Linked DNA regions of Lonchura striata. The protein of the gene in region 1 binds, or shares a complex with, the protein of each later gene. Links are inferred from orthologs where the notes say so. Each region holds a gene or a part of one and is shown on either strand. Other genes may lie near its edges.

Region 1 (7,818 bases):
TGGAGCACCCCAAATCCAGACATCCTAGGCCTGTCAACACCCCCGACCCAGAGCATCGTGTGCAGGTACCACAGCAGCTGGCCCTGCTGAGAGCAGTATGACAAGAACTTCTTGGGGGCCAAACCCAGGACAGATCCTCAATGTTTCCAGGGTTCACAGACAATTTCAGAGAAAACGAAACTGCTTTTGCTGTGGCTTGTCATAAGATTTCCTCTCCTTGTGTTGCAACACAGAAATGGCAGAGCACAGGAAAGTTAACCATGGGCTCAGGGGCTGCTGGGGGGGTTGGGGAAGTGAGGGGCCCCTGAAGTGGCAGCAGTGGTTGACAAGGACCGCAGGGAGCCACCCCCATCTCTGCCTTCCACCTGGGAGCCTCCAGCTCCTCAGGGCTGGAGAACCTCTGCCCCTTTCCCTACCACTTCCTTCTACACCCTGAGGACAAGAGGCACATCCTACCCGGACAATAAAGGTGGGAGACCAAAGGATGGGAGAGTCAAGGTTGGGAAATCCAAGAGTGAGAGAACACCCAGGTGTGGGAGAAAACTCAAGGGTGAGAGACCAGAGAGAGATCAGAGGGCGAGACCCCAGGGTGGGAGACTTCAGGAGGGGCACAGGGTGGCATTTCTCATGCCCAGGGAGGCAGCACAGGTGTTCCAGCTCCAAGCCCACCCCGGAGTCCTGAGTTGGTCACAGGGAAAGGGGTGACAGCAGAGGTTTTTCAAAGACTTCATCTAAATTTTACAAAGACCTTGTCTAAGTTTTACAAAGTGAGAGTTATTCCCCGAAAACACTCTCCTTTGCCAGCATCACCTCTCCCATGAGGAGATGAGAGCCTGCAGGAGATGAGAGCTGAGGACAACCCGCCACCTTCACCATGGGACTCTCCACTCCCACCACGACCAGTCCAACCAGTTTATTCCAGCACCATGAATCCACATGGCACCACTTCTGTGGGACAGCATTTTCCTGAATAACAAGTGCAGGGAAGCAGCTCTGAGGAGGATTTCACCAAACAAAATCTTAGGTGAAACACAGGGGAATTGGAACAGGGCACTGGGTCTAGGAAGACCTAGAGAACTCTGGAGCACTTCCAGGCAGATCCTGGAAAGCCACGGCTGTTCCTTGTGATCTTGGAAGAGATGGGATGGATGTACAAACACAGAGACAAGCACAGCTACAGTAGAGAAAACCCACCAGGTTTCCCAGCAGTCACCACCCCAGGGACTCCTGGGTGAAACAGGGAAAAGCAAACAGGTGAGGAACAACCCCAGGCACGGAGCCCGACCTACCCAGGAGAAGAGTCACGGTGCAAGGGCAGAGCTGCTGATTCCCCAGACTGCTGCAAACCAGCCAGATTCTTTGGAAACAGCTGGAAGCAAGGTTCATACCAGCAGAGCAAGCTTCTGTCCCAGAGCTTGGCTCCTCGGTCTCCCAAGAAGCGACGCTCTGTGAGTTATAAATAAACAGCAGGTCACTGCCTGTGCTCTGGGATGGAAAACAACAGCCCACGACGGCAGCGTGAGGGTGACTCAAGCCCTGGACACAGAGCCAGTCATTTTCCAAGCACGAGTACTGTGCCAGTCACCCTCTGCCCTAGGGACATGGGGGCTCTGATGGCACAGTTGGTTCAAGGGCTGCTGGGGGGACAGCCCTCTCCTCCAACACAGCTCCTGCTTTCCAGCCAGAGCTGAGCACAAGCTGGGCACAGAGACAGCCCAGGAGCAGGAAAGCCAGTGGCATGGCATGGGCATTGGCTGGTTGGAAGATAAAACCCCTGGGAACAGCTCAGCAAGGGCTAGGACATGACAGAGCCCCAGCAGGATCCTCATGGTCTGACTTTGGCTCCTTCGCTGTGCCCAGAGTGATGGAGCAGTGCTGTGATTCCCACAGCAGGAACACAGGCACGGAGTGAGGAATGGCACCATCACACCACCCTTGTCCCTATTTATCGCAGCTGACAAACCTGGTGGTGGCTGGAGAAGTGTCACCTTCAATACACCTGTCCAGCTTCTGCCCTGCAGGGCCCAGGAGCAGCCAGGGGAGGAAGAGCAGCCACTGAGCTACCAGCCTGGACGGCGAGACTGTGCTTCCCAAATGCTCCAAACTGGGAATTTCCTTCAGCCTAATACCTGCTTCTGCACCAGGCTACAATTTGCTGGAGCTGCAGGGAGAGCTGCGGTTGGTTTTCCGTGGCACTGCAGCCACTGGAGCCACCATGCACGGGCCAAGCAGGTTGTGAAAGCCCCAGCGTGTTGAGGCAAGATGTTCCCAAGTTTCTATTCCCAGTTTTTGTGTTGCTTTGGATTGCCAGCGCTGGAGTTTCCCCGTGGATGTTCCTGGTGCCATCCGGATGGGTGGGTGGCTCGCATCCCCAGCAGGGGACGGCGGTTGCTGCAAGGTAGGCAGAGGAAAGGGCCTTTTAATCTCTGCGTTTTAGACAAGACTTAACCAGATCTTGTTTGCAACTGCTCATTTGATATGATATATTGAGAATGTAACACATGATAAATCAGGGAAAGCTGTAAGAATCCCACAGGTGCTGGGATCTCTGGCTAGTGGGAGGAACGGGCCGAGAGATCTGGGGTGTCAGCGCTCGTGGGGGTGAACTGAGGACCAGACACCAACCCCCAGTGGGGCCCCTCGGAAAGGCACATCTGACCCGCTGTTCCCCCATGGGGGACACGGAGAGGAGGAATGAGAGGCCGAGGCTGCTGGCTGGGCAGCGCAGCCCAGGCGTGCGGGGCCTGGCACGGGCGGCTGCGGGGGCATCGGGGCGGCTGGGGAGGGATCAGGGCCTGACCAGCCGTGCAGAGCAGGGGGAGCAGCGCTCCCCGGGCTCGCAAAACCCTGCGCCACCTGCCAGACCCCACGGCCCGCACCGCGGCTGGCCCCAGCGCCCCGCACCGCTCCACACACCCCGTCACTCTGCATCCCCAGCGCCCGGCACTCCACGGCCCTCATCCCCGCGCAGCCCTTGTCAGCACCGCACCGCACGGGCCGCGCCCAGCCCGCCCCTCCTGCCAGGCCCCACCGCCCCGGTGCCCCCGGCGCCCCCGGCGCCTGCCCCGCTCACCGGCTCCGGCCGGGAAACCCGGAAGTGCCGGGAGCGCGCACGCCCCGTCCGCGTGACGTCATCACGCGGGGCGGCACCGAGAGCTCCAGGCCACGCCCCCGGGCACCGCGCGGGGAACGGACACGGCTGGACACACACATGGACACACACATGGACACGGCTGGACACACACATGGACATAGCTGGACACACATGGACACACACATGGACACACACATGGACACATACATGGACACGGCTGGACACACACATGGACATAGCTGGACACACATGGACACACACATGGACACAGCTGGACACACACATGGACATAGCTGGACACACATGGACACACACATGGACACAGCTGGACACACACATGGACATAGCTGGACACAGCTGGACACACACATGGACACGGCTGGACACACACATGGACATAGCTGGACACACATGGACACACACATGGACACGGCTGGACACACACATGGACATAGCTGGACACACATGGACACACACATGGACACAGCTGGACACACACATGGACACAGCTGGACACACACATGGACATAGCTGGACACAGCTGGACACACACATGGACACGGCTGGACACACACATGGACATAGCTGGACACAGCTGGACACACACATGGACACACACATGGACACACACATGGACACACACATGGACACAGCTGGACACACACATGGACACACACATGGACACATCTGGACACACGGCTGGACACACACATGGACACACAGCTGGATACAGCTGGACACATGGACACGCACATAGACACACACCTGGACACAGCTGGACACACACGTGGACACACCTAGACAGACATTTGGATACTTCTGAACCCTGTCATGTGTGCAGGGTGCCTCCAGGATGTCATGGCCCCAGAAAGGCTGTGGCTCCAGAGGCTGGGCTGCAGTGAGTGCTTGGGACACCCGGGCCTTCCTGGATCCTCCTTGTCCCAGTCCCCAGGGGACTTTGGGGTGTCCTAAGCATGGCACCCACCAGCAGCATCTTCCTCTACAGAGAGTGGTCATGGAGTCAGCAGTTGAGATCTTGGGGTGCTGGATGCAGGGCAGGGCCCAGGCAGGAGCATCTTGTCTTTCAGTAGCAGCATTTCCTTAGGCTTCTTCCATCTGGAATGACAACAAGGAAACAACATCTGAGGAAATAAAGGCAAGGACATAACGGCAAAGGAAATTCAAGGAAATAGTCAAGGAAAGAGTACTAAGGAAAAAGCCAAGAATATTGTGTGCAAGGAGGTATTATCCAAGAAAATAAGGCCAAGTAAATGACAAGGAAACAAAAGCTAAAGAACTGGGATCCAAGGAAATATCCTGGGATATAGCCACCAAAGTAGCAGTATCCAAGTAAAGCCTCAGCAGTTCCTACACCAGAACAAGTGTAAGAAGATGTGCAGGCATTGCCTGTACTAAAAGTAACAGCAGGCTCTTGATTCCAAGGAAAATGAATCCCTGACTGAGCTGTGCAATGCAGGGTACTGCGATGTGGAGGAAGAGATTTTCCTACTCCCTTCAACTGACTGGGAAAACACTGGGTGTGAATTGTCTGTAAATAGGCAGAACCTGGAAAGCACAGTGCAAAGGAAGGATTTGGAAAGGTGAGGAAGAGTGGGAAGCACATGCTACCAGACCTCACCTGCTGTACATCCTCTGCATTGTAATTCTTCCTTTCCATTACAGCTTTTCAAAGAACCCCAGAAGACGTTGTGTGCGTTCCAGGGGTTCCCAGGGCCACCAAGGGAAGATCTCTGCCATCACTCAGTTCAGCTCTCAAGCGTGTACAGGGGCATCAGAAATGGAAACCATGCAACCATCAGCCTGGGAGCCAGGCAGGTGTGAGGGAGGAAGAGGGAACGAGGATGAGGGGAAAACCTCTGGGGTGCAGAGGGGACAATGCTGCTTGTGCAGCTCCAAGCTAGCACCATGGGGACACCAGTGCCATGGCTTCTGCAGGAGGACACCGGCCATTCCCCTTCCCAGCTATCCACCCAGAGCTCTTGTGCTCACAGGAGACATCTGGAACACAAAAGTGTTGACCCTGGAAAGCTACAGTGGCCTTGGGATGTTCTTGATGCACTACTGTAAAGCCTCTTTGATATCCAAAGAGATATCCTGGAAGGCCTCGTTGGAAAGGGAAAACTCTACAGGGAGTGCTGGAGCTAGGCACTGGCACTGAGGCTGGTAGAAATAACACCTGGGTGAGGAACAACCAGGTGCATGCTCTGCTCAGCTGTGTGGCAGAGCTGAAAGGGGGAAGTGGAAAGATAAGGAGTATCAGGGAGTGGGAGAGGGAGAGGGACTGCTGGAGCCACTCTGAAGCAGCCATTGGACAAATGTCCCAGGCAGACACATCCAAGAAGTCGAGGATGCCCAAGGGTGTTGGCAGCAGGCAGAAGGAGGGGAGCCAAAAGACAGGGGGAATAAAAAGAGGTCCCTGCTGAGGGCAGCAGGGGAATCCCCTCCTGGCCCATCTCACCTTCCCAGCTCCCTCTACACAACACGGTGGAGGCTCTGGGCCTCTGGGGTGGGGACAGTCACAATGTGGATGAGATCCATCCAGGCTGGGGGGGCAGCCCAGGGAGAGACAGTCCAGCCACACTGTTTGAGAGGCTCCCTGGGCACACTGTCCTGAGGGGCAGAGGCGTCCAGGGAGGCTGGACATTGTGAAAGGAGAAATCCTTGAAGGCAAAGGCAGGAACAGGCTGTGCCTGTATGCCCAAAGATGAGCTGGTGAGGAAGCAGAGCCGCTGAGCAGGAAGCTTTGCCTGGGACTCGGGGAAAACACACCATTTACAGCTTTGGAAGAAGGGCAGCACCACAGGAGGATGGCAGGGATGTCATTGGGGCACGCAGGGAGAAAGGTAGAAAAGTAAAGGCCCAGCTGGAACTGAATTTGGCCAATTGCATGAAGGAGAACAGAAACTGCTTTTACAAAGACATCGGCAACACCGGGAGGAACAAGGACAAACTTGGTTTTTATTGAATGCAGGAAGGACATTGCCACATGGGATGAGGAAAACCCAGAGGTACTGATGCCTCCTCTGGGTGTCCAGAGCTTGTGCTTGCCTGCAGCACCCTCTGGCCTTCCCTCAGTATGAAATTAACAGCATGAAAATAACAGACAAGGAAAAAGAATCTAAGGGAATAAGAACAGCCAACGAAACAGCATGGAAGGAGAGCCTCAGCTAAAATGGGAGGTGAAAAATTGCTGGCATCGCATTAACTTCTTCAAAGTCTTCCTCCTTACTTCTTCACACTTCTTCCATGTCTTCCTGGGAAGTTTTCCTCTGGTACTCATAGGCATCCCTGAGACGTTGAATCCATAGCAATTCAGATTTCCTAAATGGGGAGCAACACTGGGAAGAGCCATGAATAGGAGGGAAACAGGAGCAACACTCGGAGGGGCTCCCTGCCCTTTCCTGCTCTACAATCTGTGCCTCCTTCATATCCTTCCTCCCTCTCTGTGGAAGTTTTACACAGAACCTGAAAAAATCAGAAAGGGAAATTTGGGAGAAACAGAGAAAGCAGCTGCTGATGGAGACTGTGGGCAACAGGGCTGCCTGTGCTCTGCCCTGTCTGGGAAGCCGCTGCTGGAGGAGTTGGGAAGGGCCATTTCCAGTGCTGCAAAGCAATGGCGTGAGCGAGGTGAATGGGAAGAAAAAGGCTTCTGGACATCCCATCCCCAGAGGGCCCTGCTCCTGCTCTGTAAGCAGGGAGGTTTGGCAGGGAGGGCTGCAGCAGGCGCCAGCACCTCTTCCTGCTCAGGGGTGTGTCGGCAGAGCCTAAGGAAGAAGATGGGGAGCCCCAGCAGGGATGGCAATGGCTGGCAATGCAGGGAATGAGCCCTGCATGCAAAAGGCAACTGGAGAGGATGGGAGTGAGTTCCTCACCAGCCACTGTGGGGAGGGAGCAGGGAAAAACAGGGCAGAGGCATCAGCAGAGGAGACCGTTCTGGGAACACAGAGGTATTGCTGGTGCTCACAGAAATTTGGGAGTGCACCGGAGCCCAAGGCATCCATCCCAGCGCTGATGTGGGAAGGGCTGGTTGGGCTGGGAGCCCCTGGCCGTGCCCAGCGCTGTCGCTCAGGAGCCGCTTTCCCGGGGCTCCCCCAAACGCGACGTCTTGGAAACACAGCCGGGGGAGTCCCAGGCAGCGGCACCTGCGCGGCTGCGGGGCTCCAGGAGGAGTTGCTCTGCGCAGGAAAGACTCTTGGTGGCACAGCAGTGGCATGGGCAGGGAGCACTTACCTTCTCAGCCACGATTCCCTGGCGTGGCCGGGTGTGGAGTCAACCTGATGGGACAGGAAACGCATCTGGGGATGGAAAACGGGAGATTTCTAACATCAGTTTTCCTGTAAAACTCTTCCACGCAGAAGTGGACGAAAGCTCTCATTGCTGTGTGGCTGAAGGCAGGAGAGCAAAGCAGAGCTGGGGAGAGCTGGGAGAGAAGGCAGGAAAAGCTTCCCCCAGGCAGGCTGGGCCCTGCTGAGCTGGGTGCTGTGGATGCTGCCAGAAGCTCCAGGCTTGGAAAAACATCTCCTGTGCTACCCAGCAATACAGGGGCATCTGGGCACTGCAGCTACAAGACAGACAGCTGTGTGTCAAACAAGATATTGACTTACGTGGAAGAAGGTTCTCAACATCACACCAATGATAATGAAGAGAGATAACAAAACCATGAACATGACCATTATCTCTGTGTGCTCTGATTTCTGCTTGGA
Region 2 (7,425 bases), on another chromosome or scaffold:
TCACAAAGTACATGATTTGTCTCTGTTTTTGAGAGAAGGCTCACCAAAGTCCTTCAGGATATGCCTGTAGGGGAATGGATATGACAGTATCTAGAGTAACCATGCTAGCAAAATTCAGTAGCAAGAAAATAACTCTTGAAACTTTATTACCATTCAAATCCTGCTATCTGCATTTCAGTTATGCTAATTAGCAATCAGGTTGCTTATTTAAATAGTTATCTATACCACAGAGAGTGTTTTCTGTAACAGCTGACAGTTTATTTGGGTGTTAAACTCTACACTGCTCTGGCACTACTACTTAATCTCACAGCCCAGATACCTATCTTAATGAACTTTTCATGCTATGGCTTTGCTCATGGGTGACACAACTTAAAACTGATACTTTGTTCAAAAGTTCAGAGTAGCTGTGCAAGCAGTGTTTCATTTAAAAAGCATTGATTCCCAAAATTATTATAGGAGCTTCTCCTAGACAAATTTTTAGAGTCTTTCCCCAGATTAAAAATAATATTCAACTCAATACTTAAAAGGTTCTTTATTTTTCTCTTAGGCTTTCAGGAAACCTTAAAAATCAGTTTGACAACAAAGACTGATATTGCAAAGCAGTGGAGGTGCAGTTCAAAAGAAAAAAACCTAACCCATAGTGTCTTCAAATATAAAAATATATATCCAAATTATTACCTAAGGAAAGTGTACCACCATTTCTGTCTTAAGCTGGTCCTGCCAGCTTTTGGATCATAACTCCCACTACAGAGCTCAAGAGCTCACACTGGAAGGAGTATCTCCGAGGTTCATGTCACAGGCATGATTCAGAGCAAACTGCTTTGCTGCAGCATATGAACCCAATCTTAGATTTTCTGAAAGCATTCCATGGTTTTCCCTTGGGCAGTGGGTAATAAGCATCCAAACATCTCCTGGGAAGCATAGGTCATATACACAAAGCCATCTTCATCTTTGTAGTCCCTGTACACTTCTGCCATTGTCAAGGACATACTGGCTAGGCTTTTGTTGTTCACCAGCAGGTAGAAAGCTTGTGTAGCTGTAAGAGCCATCCTACTTCTAATTGAAAAAGAGAGGAGAAAAAGAGGATTAAACATTAGCAAGCTGAATATGATTTCAACTTCAGTCTATGACATGCATTAAGCAGAGCAGTTGCATGAAGTAGGTACAAGAAATGCTGTGTAAAGTTATTGTTACATTCTTCCATCAGCAGGAACTTAACTGGAAGCTCAAAGGCCTGTGCTCTGAGGAAAGGCTTACATGGCTACACCAAAGGTGCTACCGAGCATGAGCTTGGAGATCCCAGTTACCAGGAAAAAGTGTGAGTAACCAAAGAAGAAACCAAAAGCTTCCATAGTGCAGATTTTGTAAAGGAGTCCAGCTCCAGTCTGTTACATTTACTATAAAGTCTACCTTCAAAAAACAAGTCTTTTTCAGAGACATTACATGCAAGGATTACAATCTAAGTTGACCAAGAGCCAAAAGCATCTTTTACAGAAGTTACAATCTAGAAAGATCTTTTTCTATACTTCAAAAAGTATGCTGAAAAACATAGCTTTCACATTTTGTCAGAAAATACCACTGAGTATTTTGGGCGACTTTGTTTCACAAAGAATAATTTAGAACATTTCATTTTGCTCACATTCAAGAGCTGCTTTGAACTTAAGCTAATTCAGCTAGGTGCACTAAGAGAGCAAGGCAGTGGGAGTCATAAGCAGAACAAGATCACAGAGCCCCAGTATCAAGTCCATGAGGCAGGAAAAGAGCAGAACAAGAGTCTTACATAGTCTTTTTTCACTACAATTACAGAGAAGGGAGGGGACTATGAACCCAAAAAAGACCACATTTTTCACACAAATGCACCTATGAAAACATCTGTTTATTATCTTCAAACACTTGCAAGAGAAGGAAGCCATTACACTACTAACACCTTTAGTGTTATCCTCCCACCCACCAAAGGAAGCAAGATGTCCCCAGCAGCACACTAGGAAATACCTTCCCTGGGAACAGCAGCCAAGTCCAGGTGCAAATCCAAACAAGTAGTATGCACTACCCACCTGATGATGGTTATGAACTGTGCCATGGTCAGCTCCTCGGGAACCAGAAACTTGGTTTTGTCCAAGAGAGGAAGGTATTTCTCTTTATGGTACCTCTCAACAATTACCTGTTTTAATTAGAGTCACACTTAGCAAAACCTAAAATATCCATATCCTTTTCCCTCCCCTCACACGCTTCTTTCCTTAAACAGCGGCAACAAGCTCCGATAACAAACCAGAGATTTACCGGGATTTTGGTCGGGAACTTGGCTCGGATCCCTGCTACTTCTTCCCGCCGGGTGGCTGCGGGGCAGAGAAGAGAAGCGTTACGTGTGCGCGCAGCCCCTGCGACCCGCGCAGCCCTCCGCGCCCCCGGCGCCCCTACCGAGACTCTTCCTGAGCTTGAAGGGCCGGTCCGGCTGCGCGCCGGGCGCCGCCCGCATCCTCCCGCCTCGGGGCCGCCGCTGCGCCCGCCGGCCCGCGCCTCGCACGGAGCGGCACCGCCCGGCCCGGCCCCGCCCCGCCCGGCCCGGCCCCGCCCCGCCCGGCCCGGCCCCGCCCCGCCCGGCCCGGCCCGGGACCGCCCGGCCCCGCCCCGCCCGGGGGAGGCGCGGCCGCCGAGCCCGCCCCTCCCGGCCGCCCCGCAGCGCGCTGTTCTGGCTCCGGGACGCTGCCGTGCTTCGTGAGAGGGCTTGGTCTAGCCTGCCCAGTGGTTCAGGGGTGCAGCTCACGGCTGGAGTGGCCCCCAGCTGTCTTCCCTTTCCACGTGAGCAGCCTTCTTCATACCGACAAACAGCTTTCAAGCGATGTCTTTGGTTTGAAAAGAGAACGAGACAATCTACTCCACGTACACAAAAAACTCCAAAAGCAAACAAAAAAAACTACCTCCACCCAAAAACCCAACCACCCGCCCCTGTCATTTTTCATCTCCTCAGGCTACCAGACTGCTTATTTTCTCGAGAGCTGAGTTTTAGCTCTGGTTTTGTCTCTGAGGCACAGTTGTGATTTTAAGGGGTTTCAAGAAGACTTCAAGTCCATCTATTTGGTAAGTATGATTCCTTGCCTTTTGGATTGCTGGTTCACCTGAGTTTGCTTCAGCTGTCAAGACGGCTTTGCAGATGAAGATGGCTCAGCAAGGGCTAAAGTTGACTCCAGTCTGGTGGTTGTGTTTATAAATCATCTCAGTGGGGGTCTGGAACTGAGCCCTATTACTTGTTTGCTTTGCTTATCCCTTTAAAATATAGGAATTTTCATTTTATTTTATCTATCATTCTGATCATGATCTAGTTGATATGGTGCTTAGGGACGTGATTTAGTGATGGATTTGACAGTGCTAGTTAATGGATAAACTCAAGGATCTTACAGGTATTTTCCAGTCTAAACTCTATTATTTTACCAGGTTAAGGGCAACTAGAATTTGCAAATTTTTACAACTTACAGTTTACAAGCTATGGCAAAGTCAATTACTGTCACCCAAGATAATTTTGAAAAGGAACGTCTTTATTAAAGTGTCTGTGTACTATCTACACGTGTCAGGTTTTTCAAACAGCCTCTCCAGAACAGAGTTTGCAGTGGCTGCAGTCCTTAAGGCTGCTGAGCTGTCCTTTTCTCTTGATCTGGAAGCGATGAGCATCAGCCACAGCACAAGCTCCCCCACGTGGCAGCACAAATTTTATTTTGCAGAGTAGATACTTGGCTTTGAGGGACTCATAGGCAAGAGCTCTGAACTTTGAGAAAGGCCTTGAGCCTATGCTAGAATGGTTTGAGTCCAGCTCATCCCTATGATTTGATCTTTGCATGAGGGGAGGTAAGCCCAGGGATTGGCTTAGAGTAGCTAGGTCTAGTTTAAGGGTTTTTGAATAGAGGTGAGGTGAGAGACTGAGGAAGGCTAAGTGAAGGAGGATGTGTGCCAGAGAATTGACATAGTGCCTTAACTCAGTATGGTGAGTTGTATCTAAGAAGATGAAGGAAAATAGGAATAATTTGAAGAGTAAAGAAACTGCATGGACAGCACAGGAACAAAGCCTGTAGGAGACAGGAGGATGTGTGGAGATCACAGAGTGTTTCTTTGGAACTGTGGTCAAGCATGGGGCTTTCCAAAGCTGTTCAGGAAGTGTATCGGTTTTCCCACACCCTCGTTCTGGTTCTACCTAGTAGATTCAGTAGAAAGAGCTGTGATCCACCTTGTGTAGAGAAGAGGGAACCTGCTATCTATACCCATGCTCTGCTTCCTGTGTCACCTCTCACTGCAGGTGAAGTACAAAAGTGTGGCTCCACCCAGGTATCAGCTGCCTTGTTTGCAGGGAGAGGTGGTTTCTTTTCATGTTCATAAACTCCTATGGCAGCATCTGGAAAGGAAAGTGAAAACCTGGTAAGAAGGTGAGCCAAAAAGATGATTTCCTAGCAAGCCTGGTGATCAGTTATGGCTCTAATGTCTGTGAGAGTTAAGAGTGAGCATAAACCCAGGCTTTAATTAGCATGTGCTAATTAATAATTTTCTGGAGGTAGAGAGAATGGGATGTCTAATGTGCCTGCATAGCACCTATACTTGCTTCTGCAGTGAAATACTCAGTTTCAGACCTAAATGTGGAATCTATTCCTTCTTACATCCTTTCCTTTGGAAGTTTTTCTTACACGCACATAATTAATGAGCTGATAGAGCAATTTTGTGTAGAGAATGGAATACTCAGAGGATACTATTGATACAGAAATGGAAGGACAAAAGTTTCTACCTGCTCGAATGTCCAAAGCCAGCACTTACAGGCATCCTTAAGTCCCCAAACATTAAAGGACAAAGTCAGAGTTCTGTATCTTATCTAGTTGTTTCATTGCCACATCCATAGCCTCTTCCAAAGCCCAAGGTCTGCAGCTGTGTGATTGAGTTCTCATGTGTCCACTGTCTCCATATTGAAATGATCTGCTCTGCAAGTGCTCTCAAACACTCCAATGTGTCCCAGGGAGTCAACAATTTAGCCAAAAGCAGCCATCTACTTTTTGCAAATGCTGTGAGACTTGCACTGCTTTCATCTGGATCTGTGAGATACTGTGGATGTAAGGCTCAAGTTATCTGTAGACTAATAATTTAAATATGAATGATACAGTGCTATAAGGACTGAGATTATTTAAGCAACCTAACTGAATAGCAAGAGAAACTGCAGCATGATGTTCTTAGGGGAAAAATGTGACTTGGCAAAATGAGGGCTTATTTGTCGCTCTGCGAAAGCCTGTGAAGTTCTACAGTATTATGCATAGTTATCTTAAATACATGTTTCCATGGGGGTTGTAAGTGAACCATGAGGTTGAAAGTGAAAATAATCAGGAGGTTTTGAAGAGCCCTCAAGCAGTCAGGCTCAGCCAACCAATTTAATGGGTTTTCAAAGAGCCATCCTAAATATTTGCATGTTTCCTGAACACAGGTAGTTACAGATATGGAATCCTTTACTTACTTCTTTCTTCTGCAACTCTGAATCTGTCTGTATGTCCTCCTGTGACACAGAAGCAAGCCCACTCTTATGGATAAGCCTGAAGTTATTGTGTGCCAGTAACTAAATTTGTGAATTCATAAGTCTTTATACCAAAAAAGTTAGCTGGAGTATTATTATGTTTAAGGCGATGCTTAGTACTGTAGTATGATTTTGGTCCAAGGTCACCCACTAATAAGACTCAGATTATAAACTTGTCTCAAAATGCTGAGATAAATTTCAAGGTCAGCAGTGGTATTTCTCACTTGATTGACTAGGGTTTATATGTACTTTTGGCTCTTTTTCTTTATCTCTTGATTTTTGAACTCTTATATTGAACCTACATCATAACTGATGATCTCTTGGTGTAGCCACAAGGATTAGAAATTATTTATGATACTTTTAAACCAGAGATTACATTACTGTTTTGTACCAGAGCTTGAGATTTTGATCTTAAAATGTCTCTTCCACAGAAGAAACTTCAGTTAGACTCAATAGTTCTCTCTTATCTTTGCCTGTATGCCTGGTATTCAGCTCATTGTGATGGAATAGTTTCTTTAAACTAGTATTTGGATTAAAGTGCACCAGTTGTACTTTTCTCTTCATTGTGCTCTTTCATTTCAAGATTTTTAAAATTGCTCTCAATATTAATTAGCTGAATTTTCAACCATATTGAAAGAGCTGAGCTCTAGTGGTGTATCCTCAGTAGTGTTTTAAGTTCTTTCACACATAAGTGCTCATAGTTTAGCATTTTAAATTTTACAAGAATTTGAGACCTAAATTTTCAGTATTTTTCAGCAAGGGTTACTCAAATTGGTGATTCTGACTAGACATAAAGCCAAAAATAAATCAGTTACTCTCTTTGAGAAAAGCTGGTGTGAGCTGGCAACCTGTTGGTCACAGCCCCTGCAAGTACATCTTTGACTTTCTGTTTCCTGCTGTAGCAGTGGTTCACTGGCTTTTTGCCCTACAGGTGTGGGAGAATGGATTGTGAGAGAATAGAGACAGTGCTGAAGGCAATCTTGCCCCTGATGAGTTGCAGCTGTACTAATTACCAAAGAGTAGGAACAGCCTTGCCTTTAATATGTCACAGCTGTGTCCAGTAAGGATGGGTGTTATAAAAGAGTGGCTCAGCTGGTTGAGGGAGAGTTGGAGTCACTTGGCTGTGATGAGAAAGGGTCAGGCAGCTGTGTGGAAGGAAAAGGAGCCAGTGTTGTGAGAACTGCCCATGAGAACTCACAGGGAGAAGGTATGAAAGTCTTACAGTAAGATAATAAACTAACAGTGGCAGTCAGTTACCATCTACCATTGGTTACTGCCAAGCACCAATGCTGACAATTGGTGGCCCGTACAGCGATGGATCCTGACATACAGGGGCTGAACTCAAGGTCTAGGCAAATGTTAAAGAGGAAAAAGCATTATTGGATCTTCCTTTCCTATCATCTGTTCTCTTATTACCACTAATAAAATGCAATGTGTTTTGTTTTCTGTCTACAGAAAAAACAGAACTGATATTGTTGCTACTAGGCAATTTCCTTGTGAAACTAAAGCAGTGTTCTTCTTGTGGACTGGAATTATGGGCACAATTTCTTTCTTATCTTGCTGTGTCTGCTGTTTGACTTGGTAGAACATTTGCACTCTGGTTTGCTGGTTTTAATAATGCTCCTACTATGAGTACAGCTCTTGATGCTGGTGCCTTGGTGAGAAGCAACAGCATCACTTGCTCTGCAAATATGGATATAAAACTTACTCTTTGTCCAAATATGATCATAATAATGTTTGAAGTGTTTTTTTCTTCCATGCAGGGCTTTAAAGTATTTTGTCCAATGTAGTTCAGTTCTTTTCAGATAGGATGTCTTTGGCTTTATTGCAGACTTTTCCTGTCCTCCCTGTTGAGGTTCCAAAGAATGCGACAGACAATGCCAAAAGTA

What was found.
Region 2: the proteins of PLEKHM1 (region 1) and MAP1LC3C are in contact, whole or in part, in a crystal structure (PDB 5DPW), measured with the Homo sapiens proteins. The link is inferred for Lonchura striata from reciprocal best matches to the Homo sapiens genes PLEKHM1 and MAP1LC3C. Residues at the interface, in NP_055613.1 of Homo sapiens: Glu632, Asp633, Glu634, Trp635, Val636, Asn637, Val638, Gln639, Tyr640; in NP_001004343.1 of Homo sapiens: Phe13, Arg16, Lys17, Glu25, Ile29, Phe33, Lys36, Pro38, Asp54, Lys55, Thr56, Lys57, Phe58, Leu59, Val60, Pro61, Glu63, Leu64, Ile72, Arg76, Phe114.

Annotation. Positions count from the first base shown.
Region 1 is NC_134627.1:2,527,375-2,535,192, reverse strand, and holds the start of PLEKHM1 (pleckstrin homology domain-containing family M member 1), read right to left. Parts: upstream 3,104-7,818; 5' UTR 3,074-3,103; intron 2,392-3,073; 5' UTR 1,964-2,391; intron 1-1,963. UniProt on the Homo sapiens protein: Acts as a multivalent adapter protein that regulates Rab7-dependent and HOPS complex-dependent fusion events in the endolysosomal system and couples autophagic and the endocytic trafficking pathways.
Region 2 is NC_134605.1:47,769,874-47,777,298, forward strand, and holds MAP1LC3C (microtubule-associated protein 1 light chain 3 gamma), read right to left. Parts: upstream 2,477-7,425; coding exon 2,419-2,476; intron 2,337-2,418; coding exon 2,281-2,336; intron 2,162-2,280; coding exon 2,055-2,161; intron 1,057-2,054; coding exon 846-1,056; 3' UTR 520-845; downstream 1-519.